Arabidopsis thaliana: one gene and its partners. The protein of the gene in region 4 interacts with the protein of the main gene of each other region in a pairwise test. Each region holds a gene or a part of one and is shown on either strand. Other genes may lie near its edges. The genes, in order: AT4G18205, AT1G33110, GRF5 and GCL1.

The links.
Region 1: the proteins of GCL1 (region 4) and AT4G18205 interact in a protein complementation assay, tested with the Arabidopsis thaliana proteins (one large-scale study listed by BioGRID).
Region 2: the proteins of GCL1 (region 4) and AT1G33110 interact in a protein complementation assay, tested with the Arabidopsis thaliana proteins (one large-scale study listed by BioGRID).
Region 3: the proteins of GCL1 (region 4) and GRF5 interact in a protein complementation assay, tested with the Arabidopsis thaliana proteins (one large-scale study listed by BioGRID).

What each region holds. Positions count from the first base shown.
Region 1 is NC_003075.7:10,070,147-10,076,962, reverse strand, and holds AT4G18205 (Nucleotide-sugar transporter family protein), read right to left. Parts: upstream 3,253-6,816; 5' UTR 3,114-3,252; coding exon 3,083-3,113; intron 3,001-3,082; coding exon 1,898-3,000; 3' UTR 1,593-1,897; downstream 1-1,592. Other genes in the region: PUP10 (purine permease 10), read right to left, coding at 1-609, 758-788; AT4G18203 (uncharacterized protein), read left to right, coding at 3,304-3,312, 3,464-3,511, 4,043-4,219; PUP7 (purine permease 7), read right to left, coding at 3,934-5,075, 5,158-5,188; PUP8 (purine permease 8), read right to left, coding at 5,989-6,816.
Region 2 is NC_003070.9:12,002,090-12,011,026, forward strand, and holds AT1G33110 (MATE efflux family protein), read left to right. Parts: upstream 1-2,764; 5' UTR 2,765-2,994; coding exon 2,995-3,267; intron 3,268-4,483; coding exon 4,484-5,025; intron 5,026-5,358; coding exon 5,359-5,445; intron 5,446-5,552; coding exon 5,553-5,609; intron 5,610-5,695; coding exon 5,696-5,934; coding exon of another isoform or gene 5,935-5,951; exon of another isoform or gene 5,952-6,038; coding exon 6,039-6,157; intron 6,158-6,269; coding exon 6,270-6,356; intron 6,357-6,448; coding exon 6,449-6,529; 3' UTR 6,530-6,763; downstream 6,764-8,937. Other genes in the region: AT1G33102 (uncharacterized protein), read right to left, coding at 444-542; AT1G33120 (Ribosomal protein L6 family), read left to right, coding at 8,897-8,937.
Region 3 is NC_003076.8:5,241,851-5,249,234, forward strand, and holds GRF5 (general regulatory factor 5), read right to left. Parts: upstream 3,989-7,384; 5' UTR 3,902-3,988; intron 3,893-3,901; exon of another isoform or gene 3,707-3,892; intron 3,576-3,706; 5' UTR 3,553-3,575; coding exon 3,070-3,552; intron 2,983-3,069; coding exon 2,860-2,982; intron 2,473-2,859; coding exon 2,356-2,472; intron 2,242-2,355; coding exon 2,158-2,241; 3' UTR 1,705-2,157; downstream 1-1,704. Other genes in the region: AT5G16040 (Regulator of chromosome condensation (RCC1) family protein), read right to left, coding at 1-77, 168-253, 356-471, 569-629, 725-835, 1,195-1,339, 1,430-1,458; AT5G16060 (Cytochrome c oxidase biogenesis protein Cmc1-like protein), read left to right, coding at 4,311-4,368, 4,709-4,856, 5,278-5,359; AT5G16070 (TCP-1/cpn60 chaperonin family protein), read right to left, coding at 5,699-5,777, 5,868-5,986, 6,082-6,189, 6,284-6,352, 6,519-6,613, 6,711-6,915, 7,203-7,286, 7,366-7,384. UniProt on the Arabidopsis thaliana protein: Is associated with a DNA binding complex that binds to the G box, a well-characterized cis-acting DNA regulatory element found in plant genes.
Region 4 is NC_003076.8:26,084,152-26,091,987, forward strand, and holds GCL1 (GCR2-like 1), read right to left. Parts: upstream 4,127-7,836; 5' UTR 3,919-4,126; coding exon 3,742-3,918; intron 3,648-3,741; coding exon 3,445-3,647; intron 3,374-3,444; exon of another isoform or gene 3,154-3,373; coding exon of another isoform or gene 3,140-3,153; coding exon 3,028-3,139; intron 2,870-3,027; coding exon 2,643-2,869; intron 2,561-2,642; coding exon 1,978-2,560; 3' UTR 1,810-1,977; coding exon of another isoform or gene 1,674-1,809; 3' UTR 1,589-1,673; coding exon of another isoform or gene 1,488-1,588; 3' UTR 1,442-1,487; downstream 1-1,441. Other genes in the region: RABA4a (RAB GTPase homolog A4A), read left to right, coding at 1-399; AT5G65274 (ARP2/3 complex 16 kDa subunit (p16-Arc)), read left to right, coding at 1,149-1,246, 1,325-1,397, 1,488-1,588, 1,674-1,809; AT5G65290 (LMBR1-like membrane protein), read left to right, coding at 5,663-5,830, 6,349-6,437, 6,757-6,915, 7,145-7,358, 7,650-7,736, 7,819-7,836. UniProt on the Arabidopsis thaliana protein: May play a role in signaling. May be not involved in abscisic acid (ABA) signaling.

The DNA of each region.
Region 1 (6,816 bases), on a different chromosome or scaffold from region 4:
CAGCAACGGTGCATATGAAACCTTTGACATACTCTCCTTTTGTAACTTTTGTGGAGTCTGTCTCCTCATTATTGAATGCAAGTAGGGTGGAAGATATAGTTAGGAGGAAAAGAGAATTTAAAATGATAGGGGTAAGTTTTTGTGAGTTAAGAAAATAAGAGAAGAAAGCATTGAAGGCTAACTGAGATGCACAGATCAGGGAATAGGTAGAAACGGGTAAGTAAAGAAGTCCAATGGAGTACAGATAGCAATCTGCTCCTACAAGAAGTCCAAGCACTACGTAAACCAATACACGGTTCCTAGGTGAGGTTCTTTTTCCATCTCTATCAGTTGTTGCATGTGTTTTAAATGACAAGATATAATATGGAAGTAGCACAGGAAAGCCAACAAGTTGAACTACCGTTGCTAGCCATTTACTGTTTCCTCCGTTGTCATAGTATACTCTGCCCAAAATTGTAGCAACTGTTTGGCCTGAAATGACAAAGAATGTATATAAAGTCACCCTGAGCCACCGTTTGTATGTGTTAGAGTGAGATACTTCTGCTTGGCTGCTACTGACTGAATTTCTTTCATCTTGAACTGTTGGATTTGGTTCTTTTCCCTGCCGAACTGGTAAGTGAGTGAAAATAACGCAAAAATTAGTTTATTTGTTGTCGATCGTTTCATATATTGAATTATAAAATATCATAACCATCTTTTTTTTTTTTGAAGATGAAAGAATAGGACGTTCACCACAAACTGGTTTATGCTTACTCACCAATGATTTGTAGTTCTTGATCCGCCGTCATGGTGGATGTGGAATCACCACCTTGGAGATGGACAAGGAGGAACTAACGTATCTTATTATCAATTCTCTTGGTTGATAATGCTACCAAGTGATTGCTCCTTTGATATGGGTGAGATATGCTAAGTTATATATTCTGGGATTAGGAATCGGTCACCGTCTAAGTTTTCTTTGTTCTTGGCCCCACATTCAGTAAATGCCAACCATATCTCTTCTCTTTCCATGAATTTAGTATCTGTAGTCTTTCTACATGCAAAGATGCCTCTATTGTTGACCAAGAGATGAGTTAAGTCTAGGAGGAAATTATGTGTAGGCAATATTCATTCAGACTTTCTTCTGCAACTATGTGGAGGACATGAACCCCATACGCATAGACAAATAGAAACTTAACACGCATACGCATATGTATGAACGTGTACACAAGTTGTAGTATTCTGTGATCTTGATGAGGACGACATTTCTAAAAGTTATTTGTCTTTTTAAATTTATTTGGATTGGGTACACACTTCGGTTTCCATGGCTAGTCATGAAGTTTTTGCCATCAAGATGATGCTGACGTTAGCTAAAGATTATGTCTCGCCTATCTTTTCAAGAGAAGACATTCGCAACAACTTAATACTGGACGGCAGAGGAAGTCGCTATATAAAATGGTATTATTTCTGGTCATTTACTTTTTGTTCAAAGCTCTGTTTCCCCAAGGATGTTGGACCAATCTGACAAATTATCTTCTATCTCTCATTATACATGATTTGCTGTTTGTTCTTGTTTCCCAAGATTTAGGTGCATTTCAAAACTAGAAAGGAGAATATTGCATTGACATATCTGTAAGTTATGCTAACTGGTCAATTTTTATCGGGTTTCACACTCACACAATGAAAGTATCACAAAATTGACATGGTTTTTCTGTTAAATAAATGACTGCTTTTATCACTCTGCTCGTATTACACAATACTCTTTTGAATAAAAGTTCTAAATACCTGAAATATGAGCGACATACATATCCCATTTGCATGGACCATTACGGATATTACACATACAAGCTTTATATAGGTTATTTACATGACTGTGTACAACTATGTATGTTTGTTTCTGAGACCTTCGATACAACTTGTTTCATAAAGTTTGTGTTTCTTCCTCAACAGGTTTTGTCTGGCAAGTCTTCAACTTCTTTTCGTCGAGGTAGTGCTGATAGACAAATGAAAGGAAGCCCCAGATAGCTAAAATGATGGAGAAAATCTTTGATGCATCCATCTTATCATGGAAAACTATCACTGCTACAACTGGAACTATAGGCAGTCCCACAGCAGTTATGGAATTGGAGAACACAGAAGAAGACTCGAAGATTAATCCCACACAACCAACAGTGTATACTTGCCAGAAAATAGCTGCTGAGGCCAAAGTCAAGATATATGACACTTTCCCCAGTTTGTAGTTTCTCATCTCACTTGGCAGAGTTCTCCACTCTCCACTTGCAAACAGTCCTATGAGTACCACACAAGTTGCAACTAGAGACTGGTAATTGGCCAAGTCCAGGACTGCTGAGGATGTATGCTTCGTGAAAACTTTCCTGAAGAGCAGTTGTATCAGAGATAGTACCAATCCAATCCCAGCGGAAGCACCAATGGTACAGATGAACCCAATCACATATTGTACTCTAGATACATTTGTTGTGTTTTCTGAATCAGTGTTGACCACGAGGAGGGCAGAGGAAACCGTAAGGAGAAACAAAGAATTGACTATCAAAGGAGTGAACTTTTGCGAGTTAAGGAAATATGAGAAAAAGGCAGTGAAGGCCAACTGTGAGGCCAAGATGAGGGAGAAAGTAGAGACTGGTAAGTAAAGCAACCCAACTGCAGACAAATAAGCATAAGCAGACACTAGCAGTCCAGTGCACAAGTAAACCGATGCAAGGGTGGTGAAGGAAGGGGACTGACTGAAATTTGTATCTGTTGATTTGGGTTGCCTGATTCGAGAAAAGAAGCGGAAGAGAATCAGTACAGGGAAGCCAATGAGTTGAAGAAGTGTTACCACATATGTGCTTTTCCCTCCATTTTCATAGTACAGTCTACCCAGAACTGTAGCAAGTGGTTGGCAGAAGATGACAAAGATTGCGTATATGGAGACACGGAGCCACCTCTTACAGTTCTTCGTTTGAGGTACTGAAAATGATTCAGTTTCCTCATGATCTAGAAGGTTTGCTTCTAAGTTCTGGTCACCTGAAAAATTAACACTCGTGGTTATTATATTTCATCGAAAGAGGATCAAATGATCTAACGTCATCAGGTACCTTTTGCTTACCATTGCAATAGTGTACTTGAGATATGCCCATGAGAAATGAGAAAATTTGGAAGAAAGAATATTGTGTTTATTGATTTCTTTCGTTTGATATGTCTTTTAGATACAGAAGAGACCTTTCTTTATACACAAAATGATATTTATTATAGTAACTAAATACCCCAGATACAAGTTGCACTAATCAAACTTGGCAGACTTTTACTAATTTGTGTATAATAATAAAGATGGGTCAGGTGATAGATGACAGCAGTATCATAATTTAGTAGTCTCATGCTGACCATTGACCTTTCTTATTTGCTTACACTTGACTTAAAATTCTTAAAACTTTTGAATGGCGGCTCTAAGAGAACTCTTTTTCCTCAGTGTCTATTGACGTTAAATCAGAAGTCAACAAAGATACAAGAAGCCAAGCTCCTAGAGTATACGTTTTTGGTATTTTAAGGAGTTTTGTTGCAAGTCACTACATTGTTTATCTGTTATGTCAGTGGCTTCCAAGTAAGTGGGTATTATATCTGTTCACTTGTTTTTTTTTTTTGCTCAAAGCTCTGTTTTAGCCTATTTGTCTCTCTGACTTCGTTGTTTGCTCTTGATTCGGTGTTTCAAATGCATTGCAAAATTACAAAGCAGAGTATTGCATTTGCATCTTTAAGAAAACTTATTGGTATATATAGAAGAAAAATATTCTGAAATTATTGGTATCATATGTACAAAACTTATTAGCTATTATGACTGACTAGTTTGCAAAGTAGCGTTACACGTTTTTTATGCTCAAACTGTACAAAGATACATTGGCTTTGGCCTTTGAGGGGAAAAAAAGAAAGATACATTGGCTTTATACTGGAAATATGCTTTGATCACACACTTTGTATGTTTGTGTGACCTTCCTCAACAGGTAGATGAAGATCTCCTACAGCACTTGTGTGGCTAGTATTCAACTTCTTTTCGTCGAGGTAGTGCTGATAGACGAATGAAAGGAAGCCGCAGATAGCTAAAATAATGGAGAAGATTTTTGATGCGTCCATTCTATCATGGAAAACTATCACTGCCGCAACTGGAACTATAGGCAATCCCACAGCTGTTATGGAATTGGAGAACACAGAGGATGACTCGAAGATCAATCCCACAAGACCAAGAGTGTAGACTTGCCAGGAAATAGCTGCCGAGGCTAAAGTCAAAACATATGACACTTTCCCGAGTTTGTAGTTTCTCATCTCACTTGGCAAAGTTTCCCACTCTCCACTTGCAAAAAGTCCTATGAGAACTACACAACTCGCAACTAGAGACTGGTAAATGGCCAAGTCCGTGACTGCTGAGGATGTATGCTTCGTGAAAACTTTCCTGAAGAGCATTTGTATCAGAGATAGTAACAGTCCAATCCCAGCGGAAGCACCGATGGTACATATGAACCCGATCACATACTGTACTCTAGATACATTAGTTGAGTTTTCTGAATCAGTGTTGACCACAAGAAGAGCAGAGGATACAGTGAGGAGAAGCAAAGAACTGACTATCAAAGGAGTGAACTTTTGCGAGTTAAGGAAATATGAGAAAAAGGCAGTGAAGGCCAACTGTGAGGCCAAGATGAGGGAGAAAGTAGAGACTGGTAAGTAGAGCAACCCTACTGCAGACAAATAAGCATAAGCGGACACTAGCAGTCCAGTGCACAAGTAAACCGATGCAAGGGTGGTGAAGGAAGGGGACTGACTGAAATTTGTATCTGTTGATTTGGGTTGCCTGATTCGAGAAAAGAAGCGGAACAGAACCAGTACAGGGAAGCCAATGAGTTGAAGAAGTGTTACCACATATGTGCTATTTCCTCCATTTTCATAGTACAATCTACCCAGAATTGTAGCTAGTGGCTGGCAAAAGAGGACAAAGATTACGTATATGGAGACACGAAGCCACCTTTTATAGTTCTCGGTTTGAGGCACAGCTGATGATGATGATTCAGTTACCACCTCATGATCTATAAGGTTTGCTTCTAAGTTCTGGTCACCTGAAAAATTAACACTCATGTTTATTATATCTCATGAAAAAATGAATTCAAGGATCTAACTTTATCAGGTGCTTCTTCTTACCATTGGCATAGTGTTCTTGAGATCTGTCCATGAGAAAGAAGATTGTTTCTTGTTTTTATTGATTGGTTTTGTTTGAGATGTCGTGCAGATACACAAGAGGCCTTTCTTTAAACACACATTGATGGTATTACAAAAAAACATCTAAATACCCTACACAAGTTGCATTATCAAACATGGCAGGCTTTTAGTAAATCGTATTATATGGATGGGGCAGGCGATAGATGACAGTAGCAGTATCATTATTTAGTAGTCTCATGTTGACCGGTGACTTTTCTTATTTGCTTACACTTGACTTGTGGAATTCTTGAAACTTTTGAATGGCGGCTCTACGAGAATTTTTTTTATTTTCTCAGTGTCTACTGACGTTTAATCAGAAGTCAACAAAGATACAAGAATCCAAGCTCCTGGAGTATACGTTTTTGGTATTTTAAGGAGTCTTTTTACAAGGCACTGTTCAAGTCACTACATTGGTTATTTGTTATGTCAGTGGCTTCCAGGTAAGTGGGTATTATTTTTGTTCACTTGTTTCTTTTTTTTTGTTCAAAGCTCTGGTTTTCCAAGGATGCTTTAGCCTATTTGCCTCTCTGCTATCGATGTTTGCTCTTGTTTTTTGGTGATTCAAATGCATTGCAAAATGACAAAGCAGAGTATTGCATTTGCATCTTTAAGTTATGGGTATCTCCGGTATATAGAAGTAAAAAAGATCCGAACTATTGGTATCTTATGTACAAAACTTATCAGTTACTTATGATTGACTAGAGATACACGTTTTTATATCTATGCTCAAACTGTACAAAGATACATTGGCTTTACACTGGAAATATGTTTTGATCATACACTATGTATGTTTGTGTGACCTTCCTCAGCAGGTAGTAGATGAGGATCTCCTACAGGACTTGTGTGGCTAGTCTTCAACTTCTTTTCGTCGAGGTAGTGCTGATAGACAAATGAAATGAATCCCCAGATAGCTAAAATGATGGAGAAGATCTTTGACGCGTTCATTTTATCATGGAAAACAATCACTGCTACAACTGGAACTATAGGCAATCCCACAGCAGTTATGGAATTGGAGAACACAGAAGATGACTCAAAGATCAGTCCCACGACGCCAATGGTGTAGACTTGCCAGGAAATAGCTATCGAGGCCAAAGTCATAACGTATGGCACTTTCCCCAGTTTGTAGTTTTCCATCTCACTTGTTAAAGTTTTCCACTCCCCGCTTGCGAAAAGTCCTATGAGAACCACACAGCTTGCAACTAGAGATTGGTAAGCGACCAAGTCAGTGACCGTTGAGAATGTTTGCTTCTTTAAAACCTTCCTGAGGATCAGTTGTACCAGGGATAGCAGCAATCCAATCCCAGCAGAAGCACCAATGGTACATATTATCCCTATCACATATTTTACTCTAGACACTTTTGCTGTGTTTTCCGAATCAGTGTTGACCACGAGGAGGGCAGAGGAAATAGTAAGGAGAAACAGAGAATTCACAATGAAAGGTGTGAACTTCTGCGAGTTTAGAAAATATGAGAAGAAGGCAGTGAAGGCCAATTGTGAGGCCAAGATGAGGGAGAAAGTAGAAACTGGTAAGTATAGTAAACCAACAGAGGACATATAAGAGTTAGCAGACACTAATAGTCCAGTAACGATGTAAACTGATCC
Region 2 (8,937 bases), on a different chromosome or scaffold from region 4:
TCTACAATTATTTATTAAAATTTAAATGCCAAATTGGTATCAACCACTAATTTGGGTTTAAAAACAAATACATATCTTTGTTGGATCAGAAGAATAGTTGTGGTATTGAACCGTTGGATTGAACCAGAATGTAAAGATTAAACGAGACTTCACAAACAGAACAAATAATATTTGTTCGGGAGAATTCTCTAATCTATATAACAATATCTTAAATAATTTAATTTCTTAAGTCTTTCTACCAATTTTTTTTTTTACAACCATATTTCATTAAGAAAGTTCAAAGGACTACTACAGAGGGAAGCCCAATTACTACAATGAAAATACAACCTAAGTTTTAAGAAAACCTAGATGCTGACACGTGTTGAAGTCTTCTGCTTCATCAAGCCACGCATCAGTTGATCGAGCGCTGCCGTGTTTTTCTCGCCAAACATCACCGCCTTAGATCAGCCACCGTCGATCCGTCGTGGAGCGATGGGTGGTTGCCTCCTGTCTGACGATCTCGAACCCAAGCCGTAAACGCCGAGAACCTCCAGATCTATCATATGGTATGCTTCAAGAGTTCTCCGAGCAAATCCAACTCCTGGGAAGTTCCATCACAGACAACACCTTTACTGATGCAGTCGAAACATTGCTCCAAATTCACGAACAAAGAAAGATAATGAAGATATTACTCCTCGAGATGATTGGGAGGATCGGATGAACCTCGAGGGGCAGTTGGACAAGAGATTAGTCTCGCCGTCGCGAGAAAACAAAAACCGGACTACTCTAGTAGACTGACATCCGACTAGAAGTCGAAAACTTATTTAAATCTAATATAAATCTATATCTACTAAATCAACAGTCACTTTATCACAAACTGCAACATTCTCCTGTTTACACGTAAGCAAAGTCTTAATTTATTGAGTTTTGATTTTTCTGAAGCGTAAAACAATAATTCTTTTCTCATTAACATAAATTATTAAAGAGATTTAATCCATAATTTATTTCTTTCTTTCTCGCCATCTTCATCACTATCTTCCCCATTCCCCATATCTTGCAACAGTTATTGCTAATTTATGTTGTTTCATCTTCTATGCAATTTTCTAATTACGAATCTCAAATTTTTCACATTCGGATCAGTTATTTTCTTTTCCGCCTGCTTTACACCATGACGCCATGGCAGATTAACAATCCTTACATTTTTTTTGCTGCTTGCCATTCTCAAACCAAAATTCATCTCACTCTCCCTTCTCATTCGAGGTCAGTTATGGCTGAAGAAGAGGTCAACCACAACGACTGTATATTCAATTAAGGTATCAAATTTGTAAAATTTCTGAATTATTATAATTTTCAGTTTTCCATATATTGTTTTGGCTTTCAGTTTTAACATCATTTTCTTTATACTTTGTGAATTATTACAATTTTCATCTAATCACATCTCATTGTTGGCTATTAATGTTGTCAAGAGAAAGTGTTTGAGAATCTGACTTTAAGACGACATGGGTTTCGTTTTCAGGATCCCGTGTGAAACATTTTCAGAAAAATAAAACTCTTACACGATCATGAGTCATGACTAACCCAATGACATGCTAAGGTTATCAATTCTCAATTAGTTCTTCCTTTATTTTTTATTTAAAAAAATAGTTGATCTTATATTTTTAAACTCAAATATAGTGCTAGACAAATTGACTTTTTGATTTTGTGAAATCACAGTAAAACAAAAAACGAAGCCATACAAGCACAAGATGTACTGATATACACTAGAGAAAACCAAAATTTTTTCAGTTTTAAAATGGTGATATAGATGAACACAAGAGTCATATATCTGAAAAGCTGAGACTATACGACAAAGGAAAACAGAAACAGAAGAAAAAGATATCCATAAGGTTGTAAAACATGTTTTCTCATGCAATTGAATCTTCAATAGAATTGGATTGATTACAAATTTATGGACCATTGGATTTTTGTTATGCTAGAATCTTTAGAACTTTGGAAATTTCGAGTTATGAGGTTTAGAAGTTAGGCATTATTGAAATTGTACGACGAATAGACTATATAGAGAATATATATTTTATTTTTTATTTTTTGGGCAAAAAAGAATATGCTTTTACCTGTTTTTCTAAAAAAAAGTTATCTTACACAGGACACACTAAAGATAACGCTTTCAAACAAAAGAATTTATTTTTTATCAAATTATTTTTGTCCCGAACGTAGTCCAGGCTTCATACTAGTAATATTTATAAGTCCGAATAAATCCGAAAATAAACCCAGACGATATAGAGCCTCTTCTCTCTGAAAAATTAGAAGAGATAAAAGAAAAGAAACTCTCTTGTATTTTGCAAGATTTTATTTTCGGTTTAACGGAAATCGCCTGCTCCCCAAAAAAAAAAGAGTTTTTTTAACTGAAATAAGTCTTTCTACCAATCTTGTTAGCAGAAAAATGTGACAATAGTAGTAGTTCGATACGCTCGTGACTTGATTCTTGTCTTTTTATGGTTTATGGTGTAGCAAAATTAAATAATTGTTAGTTTTTCTATTTTATTATATAAAACAATATAGAATGATTTAATTATTTTATTTCTTAGAATGTTTTATAAGTTTCAACTTTCAATACATGACTATTTGTATTTTATAATTGGTTGAATCAAATATCAAATAATAAATTTGTTTACTAAAACATTATTATATATTTTCTATATTATGAAACATAGGTAGGTTTGTTAGTCAAAATAAATGGTCTATAAAATGCAAGATATCTTAGCTAGGTGTCTATAAACCACTCACTGCTACTTGCTGCTTGGCGTAGACGGCTTTTCGTTTCCCAATAAAAATGACGATTTTTAAGCAAACAAAAAAACATTAATCTATAAAGACAACAAAAAAAACAGAGTTGTTCTCATAAACCAATTCATACACAAACACTCTAGTCTCCTCTCTTTTTCTCTGCCTTCTCTCTTTTATTTATTCCCTCCTTCCCTCTGGTCCTCCATCAGATACAACAACAGAGACTCCAAGATGGCCGGAGGAGGAGGAGAGCTCACGGCGGCTTTGTTGAAAAAGACGGCGGAGAACGGCGGAGAAGAGAAGGATGAGTTAGGGTTGAAGCAAAAGGTTTGGATTGAATCAAAGAAGCTATGGATTGTGGCGGCGCCAGCGATCTTCACGAGATTCTCAACGTTCGGAGTTTCAATAATAAGTCAATCTTTCATCGGCCATCTTGGTCCTATAGAGTTGGCTGCTTACTCTATCACCTTCACCGTTCTCCTCCGGTTTAGTAATGGTATCTTGGTGAGTACTTTCTTCAATTATTACTCTCAATTTTTTTACCAACAAGTTAAATCATTTCTTCAAACATTGAAATCTTCGTGATACTATTACTGACCATTCATAAATTAAACGCGTTTTTTGTTTGTCATAACCCTTAGAAATAACTTTTCATTAATCTATTTACCGGTGATTGCCTTAGAATGCATAACTATGCAATAAATTAAATTGTGGTACCTTACTGAAAATAGAAAAGAAAACATTGAAAAATGATTATGACAAGTCTTTTTTCGGGAAAGAATAATTTCTCTTTTTTTTCTGTTCAACAATTCCTTTTGTTGCACATTAAATATTATTGACTAACAAATGAAAAATCAGAAATATAATTAATTCTTCCAAAACTCAATAATAAAGCACAGCATGTTTTTGATTGGTCAGAATTAAGAAGAAAAAGAAAAAACAGAACTACTGATTGTAATTTATAAATGGTTCCTTTTGACGGATAATTGAAATAACATAAATCATGTGAGTCCTGACAGTTGACACTGCTTGACGTAACATGCGGTGGTTTCTTGCGAACCACATATCAAATTTGTAGTCTCTTCTCGTATTTTCCACAATTTTGTAGAATAATGCAGTAGAGAAATAATTCTATACCAGTTTTTAAAAAGTTAAAGGGTTTATTATACAAAAAGAAAAAGAAAAAGAGAAGGGTTTATTATACTATAACCTTAAAAGAAAAGGTGTAGGAAAAGTATTGCAGTTGATAAATTATTTTTGGGAAGACAAGTTTGACAAGATTTTTCAATGGCAGTCCACTTAGGAGGCGTAACCACTCTCCACCCTGAAAATCAAAAGTTGTTTCATATTTTACATGTTTTCAGTATACAACTCCAAAAGTACCATCATATCAAAATTTTGTCGAAGCTTTTAAGCCATACACTAGACGCCATAAAGAGCCAAAAGAGAGACAAATAGGATCTAATTATTGAACTATCAGACAAAAAGAAAGTTTTGAACTCTTTTTATATACCTTCTAATCAAAGTCAAGTCACTACACTGTAACAACGTTTGAGCTAGATCCTGATAATTTTACATACTCATCAAAATTTGGTTCAGTTTATATGGTCTTGAATGATTTTGTATGGAATGTTATTTTGGCTAACATTTATTATGAAGCTATGTAGATGTCTCAACTTTGGTTATTATAACTATCGTGTAATAACGAACCGTAATGCAGTTAGGTATGGCCAGTGCATTGGAAACACTATGTGGTCAAGCCTACGGAGCTAAACAAAATCATATGCTCGGGATCTACCTCCAAAGGTCATGGATCGTCCTTACAGGTTGTACCATTTGCCTCACGCCCGTCTATATCTTCTCTGGCCCTATCCTCTTAGCCTTAGGTCAAGAGGAACGCATTGTCCGTGTGGCTCGGATCATAGCCCTATGGGTCATAGGCATCAACTTCTCTTTTGTGCCTTCCTTCACTTGCCAAATGTTCCTCCAAGCTCAGAGCAAGAACAAGATCATTGCCTACGTGGCTGCTGTCTCCTTAGGGGTCCATGTCTTCTTGTCGTGGCTACTTATGGTTCATTTCAATTTTGGGATCACTGGTGCTATGACCTCTACGCTAGTTGCGTTCTGGTTGCCTAATATTGCCCAACTCTTGTTCGTCACGTGCGGTGGGTGTAAGGACACATGGAGAGGATTCTCTATGATGGCCTTCAAAGATTTATGGCCCGTCTTCAAACTTTCTATGTCTTCCGGTGGAATGCTTTGGTAAGGTTTCCTCTATTTTTTTAAGCAGCAAACCATATAATTATCAATTAGTCTAGGATTTGATCCTAAAGTTTTGGTTACAATAGAAATTCATATGAATAGCTTTACATGTAGGTGATATGAAGTTTCTAATTAAACTAGTAAGAGTCAAGTCAAAACCACATGCTCTTAAGTTTTTTACTTACTAGGAATGACTTTCAAAGACTGACAGTTTGAAATAATCAATGTCGTATAAGTAGACTACCTTACTAAACTATATTTACATGTACGCATATTGAGAAGTTTATGATTATACAATAATAATTATCACTTTATGGCCGTTATTTTGGGCAGCTTGGAACTATGGTACAACTCAATCTTGGTACTGCTCACTGGAAATTTGAAAAACGCAGAAGTGGCTCTTGATGCACTAGCAATCTGGTAAACTAACACGACATGACCAATACCGATTAATTCAAACATCTATTCATTTTATTTAAAATGTAGTATGCGTAAATAAACTATTCTTAACCATTTATTTTATATAGCCTCAACATAAATGGACTGGAGATGATGATAGCACTTGGGTTTTTGGCAGCTGCAAGGTACATACATATATTAATTCATACATATACACTTCACTTTATTAATTCTATTTATGTATCGGTCTTCTTCCTTGTCTTTTCTCTAGCGTAAGAGTGTCCAACGAGCTCGGTAGTGGAAACCCCAAAGGAGCCAAGTTTGCAACACTAACCGCGGTTTTCACATCACTCTCTTTAGGAATAGTTCTATTCTTCGTCTTCTTGTTTCTGAGAGGAAGAGTTTCCTACATTTTCACTACAAGTGAAGCTGTCGCAGCCGAAGTTGCCGATCTTTCTCCGCTTTTAGCCTTTTCCATCCTCATGAATAGTGTTCAACCCGTTCTCTCTGGTATGTATATTAGCTAGTTGGCGCGAGATGGTTATTATTACAGTATCGAATATAAACCGATATTTGAAATATTATGTGTCTTGGATCGGTTTTAACCTTAACAGGAGTTGCCGTCGGAGCTGGATGGCAAGGATATGTTACTTACGTTAACCTTGCTTGCTATTACCTTGTCGGAATTCCTATTGGTATTATCCTTGGTTATGTCGTTGGTTTGCAAGTGAAAGTAAGTTTTATTTTCTTTATAATTTTCTCCTTCTTTATAACGGTCTTGAAAACAAAAATGTGTGAAAGTAAAAAAATTAACATAAAAAAAGTTATTCTCTAAATTTTCTTAGGGCGTATGGATCGGAATGCTCTTTGGAATATTCGTTCAGACTTGTGTGCTTACCGTCATGACTCTGAGAACAGATTGGGATCAACAGGTTATAAATCGATTACTATGTTTTCTAATTTGTTCCTAGCAAGCTATGTTTTTGGTGCTTATTCTTATACCGTTTGTTGCCAAATATATTAGGTGTCAACGTCGTTGAGACGTTTAAATCGGTGGGTTGTACCAGAATCTAGAGACGTAAACCAAGTATCATCAGAGGAATAAATTGGATTCTAGATTGTCTTTAGCACCGTCACATTTTATTCTTAAAAGCTAAAATGTAACTTTTAGGCTATGTTCCAAGATTGTGAAGACAAGAATATGACAAATTTGGGTCGATTTGATGTCCTCGCAACTAACTTGTAATAAGATTCTAATGTTTAACCAAAAAACGAAAACGAGATCCTAATTTTTGGATTAACACTAGATAGTGTTACATTTAGCTATGATTCATCAAACACAAAATTATTTTGGGGTTTATAACCAAAAAAATAAAAATAAAAATAAAAAATTTACTATTTATGTGAAAAGAATAACAAAAATTAAAATATTTGGGTGACCTTCTCAAATAGTATAGAAAATCACACCAATTTTATTTTGTACTATTTGAGATATTCATGGTAAGAAACCATAGAGCGATGCTCTAAAGTCTAAATAGTGACAGTTTGGTTTTAAAACATTTAAAACAAATTTGTTGACTAATAGAACTGAATTTTTTTTTGTCTCATTTAACAACTGCAATTGTAACATATATATATTTTTAATAGAAATAAATTAACAAACTTTTTTTGATGATTTATGAAAACTATTTAATGATATAAATGTTTGGATACTAAACTTGAATTATTTCTCCGTCGGCTTTGTTTGAAAATATATAGAAAAAACAATTAACGGGCCATGTGCTTGTTGCAAATAATCTATTTATTTTTCATTTTAGGAATTTTGTTTCTCGGCACGAGTTGGGCTGATTTTGATAAGCCCACATGACATTGTTTTAGGGTTTCTGTTTTTCTTCTTTATACTTTTTAAAACGCGGCCAGTGAATAATTTTCTAAGGTTTATGCTTTAATCAATGAGATCAGTTAGAGAGAGAGATAGAGAGTTTTGTACAGAAAAACTCCATAGTGGTTCATATTCACAACTTTATCCTTCAAGTCCAAAAAATACAAAATAATCTTATGAAGTCCAAAATAATACGCAATATAATCTTTTTTTCACTATTGTCAAATTTAAATTTTTTGATAAATAATATACCAAATCAAAGATCTCTAGATAAGGAGTTCAACTTTATCTTCAGAATTCTCAAAAACTAATGTATGAGATCGTGAAAACATTCTAATATATGTAAAATTAAAAAATGGACTATATTGCGTATTATTTTGTATTTTTAGGACGTATAGGATAAAATTATAAAAATAGACGATTTTAAGGTTTTTTTTCATAAAACCTTTTTTTTAATACAAGTTAAATAATTTTTTTGTAAATAATTTTTTGTTGGAATGTCAAATTTATTCAACAAAAGAAAATGATTACAAAGAGTTTTGAAAGCTAAAAAATAGAGAAAATAAACGTGAAAAGTAGAAACAAAAATAATGGAATTGGCGCCACTTACATCATTACAGAAAGTTCAAAAGGCCTAATTCTGACACAATATTATTAACGGGCCATGGGCTTAATGACAATAATAAACTTTTCTCACTTTTGAGTTTTAATAAGCCCACATTTGCTTTAGGGTTTCTGCGTCTCTACCTTTAAATTGCTTCCGACGATTCATAAACTAGGGTTTCTGCCTTTAGCCGTCGTGAGAGAGAGAGCAAATCGAAGAGAGAGCAAAGAGAAAATAATATGTTGTTTGCGTTTGGTACGGTGACTCGATCTGTGGCTAATTCAGTGGTGGTTTGCTACGGCTTTCTTTCGACAATGGTGTTTTCTTTCGACCTAAACTTGATAGACCGAACCAAACTGAACCAATTTTTATATATATTTACTCAATTAAATCCTAAACTCCTCTATTTGATCTGAACCCGATCAACCCGAATACATAAATATCTAATCTTATCCATCTGAAAGGATACTAAACTCTCTAATTCGAATTACCCGAATCCAGAAAAAGCCGAATAGCATGCATTCTATTGGTACTTGATTATATTAATTGGCATATATATGACCTGTTATTGCCAATAATATATTTTGGGTGTTTCCTGGGCTTCAGTTTTATTGGGCTAGGAATGGGTGTACTTTTAAACCCACTTCTGATTAGTCTCTTAGTAAAACCCACTTTTAAACCCACTTCTGACCCACTTCTGACGCCGTCATTTTTCTTGAGAAGGAGAGAGAGCACCACTTCCGTCATTCCAGCCCAATATTTTTAACGGGCCATGGGCTTATTGTAAATAATGTATTTTTCTCATTTTTGGTTTTCTTTATGGGCACGATTTTAGTGGGCTGAATTTTGATAAAGGCCCACATATGAAAGATATTTAGGGTTTTTTCTCTTGATACCTTTTAAAACGCCGTCGAGAAATCTCCCTCTAGGGTTTCTTTGATCAAACCAGAGAGCCGTCAGGGAGAGCAAAACAAAGATCGGAGAAGATGAAGACGATTCTTTCTTCCGAAACGATGGACATCCCCGA
Region 3 (7,384 bases), about 21 Mb from region 4:
AGTTATGAAATGCTCCCACAGCAATCAGACGAACGTTTTCAAGACCCTGAACTCTTACAGGAACAGAAATTTGTTTTCTGCGATACACAGGAAACACCATATAAACCAACAGAAGACAAGAAAATGCAAATGTCGTATCCATAAACGAAAGGAAATTTGGATAATACATGTCACCGGGAGGCCACGGTTGACCCCAAGTCCATACATAACCTTCACGGGTTAGAACCACAGAGTGAGTACCCCCTGCAGCTACCTGTTATTTTAATCATACAAACCCGAGAACAGATGGTTTAGACAGGAAAAAAAGAGAACTAAAAATTGAGGTAAATGAAGAGAGGTTAGCAGCATAAGTAACCTGTCGGACTGTAAGTTGCTGGGCACAACGCTTAGGTATTACAATATCCCTCCGCACAGGCCTACCTGTCTCATCCTTGGAAGGCTCTTCACCACACTGTCCATATTCATTTCCACCTAAGTAGATTATATAACAAAAAGGTGAACAACTTAAGATCATTAAGATCATTGAGGTCACAATCATTAGAAAGAAGCTGAGAGAGAAAATGCATACCCCAAGCATATGCTCGGCCTTGATCATCGACAGCTAAACAATGCCAGCCACCAATAGCTGCCTATGATCAATTACAGAAACGGCAATTCAGAGTAAATCACAACGAGGAAACAGCATTAGAGCCAAAAATACTTAAATAATTGTAAGAAGTTTTACCTGAACAATCTTGACGTTGGCAAGAGACTTAACTAGACTTGGGGTGCTTTCTGTTTTTGTCTCAGGTGGGTGTCCTAATGTACCCCTTTGATTCCAACCCCATGTAAACAGCTGAGAAACCATTTAAGAGACCATATTATTTCTATATGTTGGTGACACATCAATCATAAACTACACCATGGAGACAAGAACCAGAGTCTGATGATCTATTCGAGAGTAACCTCAGACAAACATATTGGTTGCATTTTAGTTGGACTTCAGGACAAGAAAAAAAATACGAGCTTTAAACCCTTTTTAATTGGTCCTACAGATCTCAAAAACCCTATGTAAAGCGAACTAAGAAAATCTTAAAGACATGGCTTAGAATCAAATCGCAAAATCAAAGCAAAGCATTGTACTTTAGTTAGTTCTAAGCGAAACCAACCAAAGAAGACACAACAAGGACACATAAAGGAAATTGGATAAGTAACCTTGCCATCATCGCAAATGGCGAGGGAATTGCGGCTACCACCGACGACGGAGCGAACGTTGAAAGGCTCAAGAGCGTCGACGACGGAAGCCAATTCCTTTTCTTCATCGGTTCCAAGTCCTAGTTGCCCATCTTCTCCAGAACCCCTGTGCCAAAAAATCAAACGAAGGAGCAATAGCACAAGTCAGAAACAGTAATGGAGAAAAACAAAGAGGTAGAATAGAAAGAGAAATGACCAGGCTATGACGGAAGTAGCTGAAGCCATTGAAACAAAAGTGAGAGATACAATTACAAATGAGAGAGAAAGAGATATATATGAAGAAACTCAGTGGAAAAGCAGGGCACTCTCGGTGGGATTTCAATTCGAGATATTATTATGTGAATGTGTCATTACATTAATTATTTATTTTGGACCAGTTAATGTTACCTCCCATTCCCATGTCATTTATTAATTAATCCAACTTTTTAGCTTATGGTCATGGAGGATTTATGATTTGTAATTCCATTATATGTGTTACCTAACAGTTGTTCCAAACCGAAAGAGGCTTTATCTTTCGTTTAAAGTTGTGAAATTCCATTTCTATTTCGTTTCATTGAACAACTCTCTTGAGTCTTAACCAATTCCATTTGGGGAACATTCCACCTAGAGAAGCATAATCTAAAAGACAACTAAACCCCAATCAGAGAAGGAAGCAAGTTTTCAACTTTTAGACCGGACCATGTAATGCAATGCAGTCTAATAGTGAAACCGGCAACAACGACAACAACCAAAACATGTGAGAAGCACACAAAGAGTTTTAACCATCGATAACCAAATCATGCAGCTACAATTACTACTACAAATCCATGTTTAAGGAAACTACAGCCCATGTTTAAGGAAACTACAAGGTTTTTTTCTGTTTAAAAACACAGAACCAAGCCATATATTTTTTTGTCTGCAAATCATTCCATGGATCTGATTTTATCACTGCGAAGGTGGTGGTTGGGCTTGTTCATCAACTTTCTGCACCTCTTTCGGGGCTTCCTTGATATCATCACCAGCTTCGTCCTGGAGATTAGATATTAGACACAAATGTTATGCGAAAACCAACAAGAATCTTAACTGCATGATGCAATCACTAAGATATTGCTAACAATGATGAGTGTAAAGAGAGACAAGTACATTGAGGTCAGAAGTCCAGAGGGTGAGATTGTCACGGAGAAGCTGCATGATCAATGTACTGTCCTTGTATGATTCCTCTCCCAATGTGTCTAGCTCCGAGATTGCCTCATCAAAAGCCTACCACCATGAAAAATCATATTAGTAACTAAACAAAAGGTACTTGAATCAAACTAGAATCCGAATGTGAAGGTTGTCCAAATTTCACTAGTGTATGGAACCATTCACAGGATCTAGTTTCCCAATTCTGCCCATCATCAAAATTAACTACAACCCTATCGGTCAGGCTATGGTAAGCAATCTACAAACCATTACTAGAACATATGGAAAGTCTACCCACATGGAAGTGTAACAAGTTAACTACGTAACACGTTTTTGCCACATTATGAACGATAGATAGAAAAAAAGAACCTCTTATGTGCTAAGTTTAATCAAGCAAAACAGTTGGAATATAGGTTTGTTAGTTAATGACAGAAAGCATAGCATAAATGAAAAAGTAACACAGACCTGCTTTGCGAGACTACACGCACGATCAGATGAGTTGAGAATCTCATAGTAGAAAACAGAGAAGTTAAGAGCAAGCCCCAGTCTGATTGGGTGAGTGGGAGCCAGATCAGCAAGAGCAATATCCTACATAAAAACACAAACACCAATAGCATGAGACAACATGTTATCTTAGCACTCTATATGGTTAAGAAGAAGAAACAAGATGATAACCTGAGCAGACTTGTAGGCAACAAGAGTGCTCTCAGCAGCTTCTTTCCTCTCAGCACCAGTCTTGAATTCAGCAAGGTACCGATGATAATCTCCCTTCATCTTCAGGTAAAAAACTTTGGACTCAGCCAAAGAAGCAGCAGGAATGAGATGAGCCTCAAGAAGGTTCAAAATGCCATCACAAATCTTGCTGAGCTCAGTTTCAATCTTGCCTCTGTAATCCTTGATAATCGAAACATGATCACTGTTGCCCCTGCTATCTTCCTTCTGCTCAATGGAAGAGATAATCCTCCAAGAAGCTCTCCTAGCACCAATCACGTTCTTGTAAGCAACAGACAAGAGATTCCTCTCTTCAACAGTAAGTTCCTCGGTCTCCACGGTCTTTGCAACTTTCTCCATGAACTCAACCATTTCCTCGTAACGCTCAGCTTGCTCGGCTAACTTGGCCAAGTACACATTCTCTTCCCGGGACGAATCAGAAGACATCTTTGCAATACTCTTTTAAAAACCTGTTTTCAACAAGAAAATATCAAGCAGCAGCAATAAACAAAGAGCACGAAATAGAACTCAGTAATGCTGCAACAATCTTGCATTCAAGAGCAACGATAACAATCATCTCTAACAAAATTAATCCACGCACCCAAAGAATAAAAAACTTTGACAAACGATTTACACTGCTAGATCTATCCAAAATCGATAGAACGAACTTTGAATCCTACAGATCTTGAAGTGATGACCAAAACGCGAAGATCAACAACATATCAACAATAAACGCAGAAAACGAGAAGCAGAAAAAACATTGTCGAAGTATGAGCAAGGAAGATCGGAACCGTACCTTGAGAAATGGGAATTTTCGAATTAGGGCTTTTGAATTCGAAGCGAAATTAGGGGAAGTGAGAAATTTGGGGGAGACGGTCTCGTGACCATTAAATGGGAAAAGAGTAAAGAGAGAGAGAGGGGCAACGACCCAATTAAAATACGACACGTGCTAATCTGTTGACCGTCAAAGGACTTAATTCTCGTCCATAATTTTAAATTGAAGTGGGTGAAATGTGACGAATCATAAGTTAATAAGGTCATTCATATAATACAAAAATATTAAGGGGGCAAAATGGCAATATAAGTTAAGTTTCCTTGGGGTAAATGACGGATTTACCCTTTGCCCTGAACCCATTTCTAGTCCCCTTTGCCCTTTTGATCGAATTGATCGGAGAAGGCCGGAAAAGCTCGAAGGTCCGTCGTCAATGGGTAGCTATGTGGAGCAAGCTCGTGAAAATCACGTGAAGAAGAAGGTCGAAGAAGGTAATTTGACAATGTCGTGACTTCTTCATCTCGCTATGTTTTAAAACCCTAAACCCCCAAATGGTTTTTTTATTGCCTCGAAAATGAGATCAACCATATCGATACTATTTAAGCCTGGTTTCTTATCATAGACGCAGATTCTTTTGCTAGATTGAGGATTAGGGTTCTCATAAACCCTTGGTAGTAACTCCATATTTTGCATCTGATCTAGCAAGCTCTCATTGAGTGTGTCAAATTGCTTCTATGAATTGAGCTTATAGATTGTGTTGAAGTTGAAATGGTGATGGTTTTTTTTTGTTAAATGGTTGTTTGATTGATTATGTATATACTTTGTTATTAGCGCTGCGTAGCAAGATGAAGGCAAAGGCATTAATGGAATGTGATCAGTACGTCTCCAAGTATGCTCAATGCGCAACAGGAAGAACTTTTTCTGTGGTATGGACATGTCGTAAGCAAGCTAGGGAGCTCAACACTTGCCTCCATCAATTGTAAGTTTTTCGAGTTTTTAGTGCTCCTTCCATTAGAGGTGTCATCTTTTTTTCACTGTTACGTATAAAGATTTGTTGTGTATGGGGGCATCTGATTTTGATTATTCTTTCTTAATACCCTTCACTGGTAAGTCTGATATGATGAAATGAGACAACTTGTGGTTAGGAGATGCATAACGTTATCATGACGTACCAGTGCTAGTATATATATGTAACCAAATATAAGCTTATAGAAGGGGATGATTGATGATTCTTTGATACTGCGATAAAAGAGAAGTAATAACTATCTTCTATATCGGTGTAGCACAGTCTTGTTCTTGGTGCACAAGTTCTTTTTATGTGACTCCCTAATGAACGTCTCCCTTGTTGGGCCGATGCTTAAATGTTGTCTAACCATGAAACTATTTTGTTGATTCTGCAGCACCAATGACAATGTCTTGGAGGAAATGAAGAGAGCGTATATGGTTCAAGAAGAGGGTAAAGTCTCAGCCTCGGCCATATAGATGTTTGTTGAACAAAAGATTTGAGTACGACCAATATAATGTCCTCGCTTTGTTTCTTGTTCATTGCGAACCAAAATATATCCTTTTTTATAAATAAACTGTGGCCTTTCTTAAATATGGGTGTATTCACTAAATCTAGAGATCAGATTCAAATAGATTTTGTATTACTATTTTTTATCATTTTGCAAAAGATCCACTACATCTAAAGATCAGATTCAAATATGTTTTTCATTGCCAAAAAGAAAAAAAAAACATATGTTTCACAATATTCAGGATTTACACCAAGAAACAAAATTTGAGGTGCTTACAAATTAGAAACCAAGTTAAAAGCAAAGGACTTCAAGCAGTAGGCTTCCTCATATTTCTGCCTGCACGAATCACTTCGTCCACCAAAAGTAATTGCGACGCAATCACTGGCCTGCAACACAAACAAATAGCCGGTTATTGAAATGGTTTCAACCGAAACCCAAAGCTTTTATTAGAATTGACTAGTTGGGTCGAACATTACCCTGAATTGATAAGTTGGCGTTTCACTGAGTAATTATCAAAAATACCAGCAAGCTGCGGGTCAATAGGTTCACCGTCCTGAAGGTTCAGTCCCACAACGTTCCCTTTGTCATGCTCGCTCTGCATAAGCGCATCACAATGAGCAATTCTAATTCTTTGTTCCTTCAACAATTGATTTCAGTTTGCAGAAGATGATAAGAGAGATGAATGCATACCGTAAGAGAAATGATCACATCTTGGGTATCAAGACCTGCATTTTCTGCAAGTGTCTTAGGCACCACGAGAAGGGCATTAGCAAAAGCTTCAACGCCAAGTTGGGCACGCTGCAATGTTCATGATAGTATTAGCAATTTAGAATATTGGGATGCATTAAGTAATGTTGCGAGAATTAGAGTACGAGTGAAGAAATCAACTTACCCCTTGAACGGTTTTCTTGACTTCATTGAGTAAGTGTTGCCTTGCTGCAACTTCAAAAGCTCCTGCTCCCTACAGAAACATGCAACCACACATTAACATAACGCAAAACATATACAATAGGTCTATATGCTAACCTTACCCAGGGTTTTGATCACGAATTAACAATTTCTTTGATATTGCGGAGAAACATAAAGCAATGTTAACAAAAAAACTTCAAGATATATAAGGTACTTACTAACACAACACACTCGTCTTCTATGGTGTTCTTGACCGATCTCAGACCATCACGAACAGCGTCCTTAATTTGGGCAATAGTGTGATCATTAGGCCCTACAAAACCCAAGAAATTCATGAATGAACACTAAAACTACTAAAAGAACAAATGAACCATCAAAACTTAATGAAGACATAAAAGTCGTCCTAATACCTTTTATGAGGATGGTACATGAATTAGGATTCTTCACTTGCTCCACAAAGGTGTACTTTTCCTCCCCAAGAACGTGCTCATAGACAAGTCCAGCCCATCCAAGAGACTCAGGGGTCAAGTCGTCAACAGAATTCACAGCTTCTCCACCACAGGCCAAAACTAAACGTTCCATGTTCCTCCTCTTTGCTCTTCTAAGACCAATAATCTGGACACATGAGGAAAGGTAATTAGATTCAACAGCTTCTAAACAAGAGAAATTAGGTACAAAAGAATAGACAAGCTCAGTCAGTGTCCCAGAACTAAAAACTAATGCTGCCAATCGTCTCCATGGATTATTGTATATCGAAGGAACTACTCTTTTAATATTACTGGCAATTTCAATTCACTTAATAACACATTCTTCCCTAGTATCTTTCTTCTTGTTCCTAAATATCACAATTTCAGCGATTTGTAACATAAGTTTAAATGCAAGAAAACACAGAAGTAGCTTACCCCTTCTCTAGCAAGAAGATCCAATGATGGTGGGTCAATACCCTTCTGATTTATGACAACAAAGTTGTCATTATCACCACACACCTGCACAAGAAATAAAACATGTATTAGTATTTTTTACAGGGTTTTAAAATAAAACTTGGAGAAATGGTCGCAGTCCCACCTTCTTCTTCAGCTCAATT
Region 4 (7,836 bases):
TTGGTGTATGACATAACCAGACGCCAAACCTTTGACCATATCCCAAGATGGTTAGAAGAACTACGTGCTCATGCAGATAAGAACATTGTGATAATCCTTATTGGGAACAAGTCAGATCTTGTGGATCAACGAGCTATACCGACAGAAGATGCGAAAGAATTTGCGGAGAAAGAAGGTTTGTTCTTCTTGGAGACATCTGCATTTAACGCAACCAATGTTGAGAGCGCTTTCTCCACGGTTTTGACTGAGATCTTCAACATTGTGAACAAGAAAAGTCTGGCTGCGAGTGAAGATCAAGAGAATGGTAATCCCGGGTCGCTTGCTGGTAAGAAGATTGATATTGTTCCAGGTCCTGGTCAAGTGATACCAAACAAGAGTAACATGTGTTGTAACTCTTAGATAAACCAATTCAATTCTTGAATGTTACTTGATAACAACAATATATAGATGTTTTAAAGACTCTGATTGGGATATTTCTCCTATCTAGAGCTGTGTGATTCATTTGTTGCTTAATGAGCAGTTTTTGTGGGGTTTTGGGGTGTTGAATCCAAGTATAACAAACCGATCTTAATTTGATCTTAAAAATTGGATATTAATTTGATCAACATGTTTTTATTCTCTCTACATTTGTAAGATTATTGTTACATTTTTGTTAATTACAAATATATACCAGCAATAACAACTTTTCTATTTCTCTTGTTACGTCAATGTGAAAAAGTAAAAATTAAAAACTGAAGCATCCGATTTTAATAATTGGTATCACAGTTCTGATAAATTCTCACTCGGCCGTTTTACCACTCGATTGCTTTATTCTCTCTAATTTCAGGTAATCTTCGAATCCTGCTTGATTCTTCAATCTTGTATGATTTGATCAGAAAGTTCAGGATTACTGATCTGATATGATGTGAGAAATCTGCGTACCATCGGCAATGGATTGTTTTACGTGATTAGAATTGATTTTGTCGTGATTGTTACTTCTCTTTTTAGCTTTTTATGGGGATGACAAGTTTTGCATTGCCTCCTTTGGTTAGTAAACTCAAATCATATGTTTCTTATGCAGCAAGTTGTCGATTTGAATGAAGAAATGAAATTAATTGATTAGGTTTTAGATAATTTTGCTGGAGAGTGTAGAGAAAGAGAGAGATCCAATGGCTGGTGCAGCAGCATTTGTTGAAGCTGATAATGCAGAGGAAATAATGGCAAGGATCGAAACCAAATCGCAGAAGATTGAAAGCTTACTCAAACAGTAATAACCCTAAAGTTCCTTTTTTCTTCCAACTTTCTCAGATGACCTAGGCTATAATTGTTACTTCGTTTTATTCAGCTACAAACATGTCGAAGCTCTTAAAACGGCTCTTGATGGTTCGCCACCTAAAACTCTCGACGAACGTTGCAAGGTCCTACTGTTTCCTCTACCATGCACATAAGTAGTTTGTTCATGATCAAAAAGATTGTGTAATTTATGATAAATATCTGTGAAATTGCAGTCAGCTAATTGGATAGTTGTGCACAGAGCTATCATGGCGATAAAGGATATCGAAGGAATGTTAAATTCTCTTACTGCCGAGTATTACGACATTCTCATGAAGTAAGTCTCTTGCCTTTTGCTCTGCTAGCTTTTAATTAGCGTGATGTGGAAGCAGTGTTTTGTTTGCTTAAATGGTGTGGATCAGGTACTTGTACAGAGGTCTTTCGACTGGTGACGAACCCACATGCGAACAGTGTTTGATGATTCACGAGAAACTAACAGAGAGAGCTGGTCTCGGTTGCATTCTCCGTTGTCTGAGTGATACTACCAATACCGTTTAAACCATTAAGCTGATCTTTTCATGTTACTTTTATTCTTGTTTTCTATGAATGTTTCTCCCAAATCTCAAGTTACTTCAATAGATTATAGAAAGTGGAATAAACCGGAGAACCTAAGATCCTTTCACAAAGAGATAGTCATAAAAGAACCTACGGTTACCTGGTTTTAAATTATATCTCATAACCAGGAAACTTAGAATCTACCGGCGACACAAGATCGAACCAGAGGCATACTGGTCCAGCTAGTCCCCGGAATAGCGAATAATCATGTTCTGTTTCTTGGCTTGTCATATTCACGAGCTCTATCGCATCACGGCACAAGTAACTCGCAAACGCTTTTGCTCTCTCTTCATATACAACATCTCCGGTTAAGCGATAAAGGGATAAGAAAGCGTAGGCATTACCAGCAACTCCATCAGCTAAACCTACCTTCTTCACCAAGCCACTCTTCCACACTACTTCTCCTGCTTCAATGGCTGCTTCGCGGAAATCCCTTTCCTTGGGAAACACCTGAGATGCTTTAGCCAAAGTAATGGCCATGCCGGTTGCTCCATGAGCCCATTGGACTAGCTTATCCCTCGGATTCCCTTCGCTGCACGGGTAGTTTCCGCTGTTCGGAAACCTATTACTCATCATATACCTCAATGTCCCTTGAACATCTTTAACATCCTCTTCCGATAGTGGAAAATGCAGCAATACATACAAGATTCCAGCTAATCCATTCGCAGCACCCCAAAATCGCGTTCCGTGAAACCTAAAAGCCACAAAAGTAAGATCAATTCCTACTAAAGATAAACAGGATTCTCTTTTAACAAACTATAGCTATTTTGTGAAACCTGTATAACAGAGGACAAGCTTCATGATCTGCAGCTCCAACTCGCCCACCGGCTAAGATGGCTGCAACAATGGGTGATAAGAGATGGTCAGGAACAGTTCCTTGGCCGAGATATCGGTTTAGGAACAGAGCAGCCCAAAGGAAACCCGCTCTTCCATAGAGAAGGTCATATGACATCCCAAATCCTCCTTCCTCTGGTCCTGCTGGTAACTCTCTCTCTTCTGCAAGCTGCTTGTAAGAATAACAAATCTTAAAGGCTCGTCACTTCACTAATCTTGCTTAAGGGTTAATATATGACACGTTGGATCAAAATACTGAATCTATAGCTTTTATCTGAAAGTGTTGTAAGCAAAAGAAATGGTGTATGAAGTCAAAAAGATTGGAACCTCAAGAAAAAGACCGAGGAAGAAGTCACGCTTTGATTGGTCCCCTCTGTAATTGGCTACAATTGCACCAAGCGTACAAACTCCTCCTCTTCCACATAAAAATGTCACGTGCCTATTCATGAGCATAACAAGTCCAATAATTTGTTAGAAAATGACAAGTCCATTCTAATGGGTGTGTAGATATTGTTATTATTCCAGAACCTGAAAATTCGTTCATACATACATAATTTTCTATAAACTATAATTGGTTAAACAGTGACATCTTTGTAATGACTCAATCTCACACATGTGTTTTCTATCAGACAGATTTTAATTAAGAATATTCTTTAAAATGGTTAGATTCCATTTTTTTTTTTTATGGAAGATGATATTTGATGTTTACTTGGCTAAGCAACTTAGTGACGAAGATATTTTCACCTGGTTGTGGCACGCGCAACGTTGGCACACGTGTCGATTATCTCTGCGCAAGTTAGCAGATCTTGATGGTTCCGCGTTACCTCGTACGACTTCAAGCAGGTGAACGCTGTGCCGAGTAGTCCTGTGTACACAGTCGGATCCAGCACTGGACCCGAACCAGAGGCAAGAGCTTCGACACCACCTTTCCACGTGGCCTCCACAACCTATACATACATCGACCAAAAAACATATATGAGCGAACGTACGGACTAGGCTTACATTAGCCGTCTGGGGCGTCGCATAGTTATCGTAACGCACCTGGTTCTTGAGTAACGTCGCTGCTCTGAGGAAAGATTCCGTAGGGAGAGAAATAGTCGGAGCCGACGGTTCGGAAAGCAAATGATCAATTTCGCCATTCTTTACTGTCTCTCCGGCGCCGTTACCATCGTCGCCGCATCTCCCCTGTTCCGTCACGAAATCCACCGACGACGACATAGCTCTCGCCTTTGTGTCTCTGTCTTACTCTTGATCTTGATTGATATCTTGAAGAAAGAATCAAATACGGGAGTTATATTTATTTGTAGTTTTTATAACAGCCGCTATTTATATAGTTTCTGTTTTTTTATTTATCTTTATTTATTTTAGTTCTATTAGACCAAATAAAATTACTGTAATGGATTTTTCTTCTTTTAAAAGAAATTTGTGAATCACCTTTTAGTTTAGTTTTGGTATAAAATATTTTAGTAATTTATTTGGATTAATTCAGTAGTTAATAAATATGTTAGGTACTTGAGTATGATTTTTAGCAGTTCCACACGTGTTTTCGTAATTTTGTGCATTTGGGTATAGGACCTACCAGTCTTTAAAATAATGACTTAAGCATCTTGGAAAATAAATGTGATGCTTCTATTAAAGTATCAAGAAACAAAGGAAAAGCTGAAAGTGGGGTTTAGGGTATTGGATTCTGGTTGCAGGACATGACCGTAATACACGTGAACCGGTAGACAGAGCCTAAACGTGTCAGCATCTTGTCGGCTCTATCATTTTTACGAATCGATTTGCCGTTAGATCTGGCTTAGGGGATATGGCATGGACTACGAACGCTCGATGTTATATACCTTTATAAATAAGGAATAAAAAAGTGCAGAGATTTGAGAATCTCATACTATATCAGACGATTAAAAAACTAATCGAATATGTAATGTTTTAGTTGATAAACGGATCAATTAGTTATATTTTTAAAATAGGTGAGTGTGAACGCGTCGAAATGTGTTTCTTGTCAATTTACGAATTATACATTTGGTTAGATAGTCACTTATTGAACATGAATCAGTGTATTAGCTGCTGACCTGTAAACACGTTTGGAAAACGTGAATCATGTGATATTCTTTCACGCGTGTTAATTAAACACCTAAACCCCGTATGTTGTAAAACGCATGTAGTCTCTATAGATCGGACGGCCCATATTTAATTCATCAAATTATATTTGTAGGTGTAACCAGGCCCAGTTACTGACCATCAATATCAGGCTTTGTAAAGTGCAGCCCAGTTCCTAGAGGCCTAACTTTGTTGAAATTCATTTTATTCAATTAAAAATAGTGGAGTTTTTTTTTTAAGACAACTAATTAATAATTAATTATGAAAACCCAAAAAAAACAAACAGAAAATTCAAAATTTCATGCGAAAATGCGCAGCATGATATCAAAAACTTCGTGCTTGCGCAAGAATTAAGCATTTTCATTAAACAAAAATTAAAAAAAAATGTGTTCCTTGACTTTCTGAAACAACCAATTACCTTACAACTTAAAATCATATTTATCAGAGTACTAATGGATTAAATTTGACGCAAACAAATATTAATTTTAGATTTGATGGTTGAAATTATTTAATATTAATCAGACTAATTCTTCTCAAAGTCTCTCAATTCTCAACTCTCACCAAATAACGAAGATAAATATTTACGTTTTCTTTTTAAAAAAGCATTAGAGCGTGGAAAAAGCTGCTTCTTCTTCTTCGTCAATGAACCGAACCGAGATCGAACCAAGGAAACGAAACTGAAGAACGAAAAAAAGGAACAACAAACTAGAGAGCGACCTTCCTCTTACCGGCGCGTTACTCTCACGCGCTAACGTACATATAGACGAGTCGAGCGATCTCGCAGCGGCGTTTATCGATACCCTAAGCTCGTGGTTGTTTCAGATTTTTGTTAATTGAATTCTCTGCATCGAGATAGAGGGAGATGTGGGTTTTCTATCTGATCTCGTTGCCTCTAACCCTAGGATTAGTTGTTTTCACGCTCCGATACTTCGCCGGACCGGAGATTCCTCGGTACGTTCTTATCACCGTTGGATACACCTGGTTCTGCTCTGTCTCCGTTATCATCCTCGCTCCTGCCGACATTTGGACGGTAAGTTTTACTTTCCATGTTTTCAGCCAATACGGACTTGTGCGATTCTGATCGAATTGGCCTTTACGAGCTTACGATTTTGAATTTAGGAGTCGTCTTACTTGATTTGGAATTGAATCGTCGGTTATAATTAAAGGGTTCTTTCTGATGCCTGGAAGTTTCATAGGATCATACGTTGAATTGAGATTTAGCTGAAGAATGTGGTGTTTGAATACGGCTTATACGCATTTGTTAGACCTATATTGAAATTAGTATTTAGTGGTGAAAGAGTTTGAAATACTCACTGAAGGTTTTTAAGCATGAAGCTTAGTTGATTTGGTAGTCAAACAAATTGTGTTTATGGATAGATAGCTTTGGTCTCTCATGGTTGTGAGCTGTTGAGGAATGTTTTTGGGAAAGTTTCAATGGTAGCTAGATTTTGGTTGCCATGTATGATTTGGATGTAAACCAAACTAGAATAACTAGGAGATGTCTCATATGAAATTGTTTTGCTTCATTTGTCTTCTTATGTTCTGCAGACACTATCTCTGCAACCTGATCATCCTGAGAATGGCGCCATTTCCTTCTTATGGAGTTGGTCATACTGGAGTACGTTTCTACTCACCTGGTATGAACTGGTCAAGCTTTTCAGTGCTTTTTACCTGACACGTCTTCCCCCATATTTTCAGAATATTGTGTCTGTCTTTTGATCAAATCCAATATTAGGTGGTGAAACCAGATTACTTTTGAAAATATTACCTAGTTAACATGACAGGACGTGTCCAGTGTAGGTCAAATAAGTTCATCTACATGGTTGTTATCTTTAAGGCGTAAATTTTGTTTTGTTTGGCAGTATTTAAAATGCACTCACACAATCCATCTACATTGTTTTTGTAGCTTATAGATGTACATTACCTCATATATTAAACTATGTTACCTCTAAACAGGGCTGTGGTGCCCCTTATTCAGGGTTTCGAAGATGCTGGAGACTTTACCGTGTCTGAGCGATTGAAGACTAGCGTGCATGTCAACTTAGTTTTCTATCTAGTACTGGGATTCATTGGTCTTCTCGGTCTTATCCTTCTCATCATGATGCACAGAAACTGGTAAGTTGTCCCTTATGATCGGATATGCTTATATATTGGCTTTGCATGTCATACCTTGTTATTAGCTCTTCTATTAAAAAATGCATGATCCAACTGCTAAGTATTGCAATTGCTCATCTGACTTGCTGGGTTTAGAAAATCTGCTGCCAAATCTTTCTCAATTTTTTCTCGGGTGGAAGTTACATTCGTTCCTGGACTATTTGACTGAGACATTCTTGTACGCTAACAGGACAGGAAGCATTTTGGGTTATGCTATGGCATGCTCAAATACTTTTGGGCTGGTCACTGGTGCATTTCTCCTTGGCTTTGGCTTGAGCGAAATACCTAAGACCCTCTGGAAGAATGCAGACTGGACCACACGCCAAAAAGTTCTCTCGCACAAAATTGCTAAAATTGCTGTGAAACTTGATAATGCCCATCAAGAACTTTCAAATGCGATTGTAGTAAGTATTATCTGGAATTAACAAGATTTCATTCTCATCCGATTAGATATGCCCTCTCTGCTTCAAACTTGATTTAGAACCTTAGACCATGACATAATCAGTGGTGCTATTTAAGATATAGGGAGATATTCCATTTAGCAGGCTTGAATTCAAATTAACTTCACTTCACGTGATTAAGTACCTTAGAGTTTTAGCAATTTAAATAACTTCACGTTGTGCTCCCTCCAGAAACGTTTCATGTATTGTTTTCTTATCAGACTGTTTATCACTTCATAACCATTGCCTTGCTAGGTTGCTCAAGCGACTTCAACTCAAATGTCCAAGCGTGATCCTATGAGACCATACATGAATGTTATAGATGCTATGCTGGCTAAAATGGTAACTTCTATATCCCACTACCCCCTTAGGTTGTGGACATACATTGAAACTTCTCCAGTTTTAATGATGATGCTCTATACAGTTCAGGGAAGACCCATCA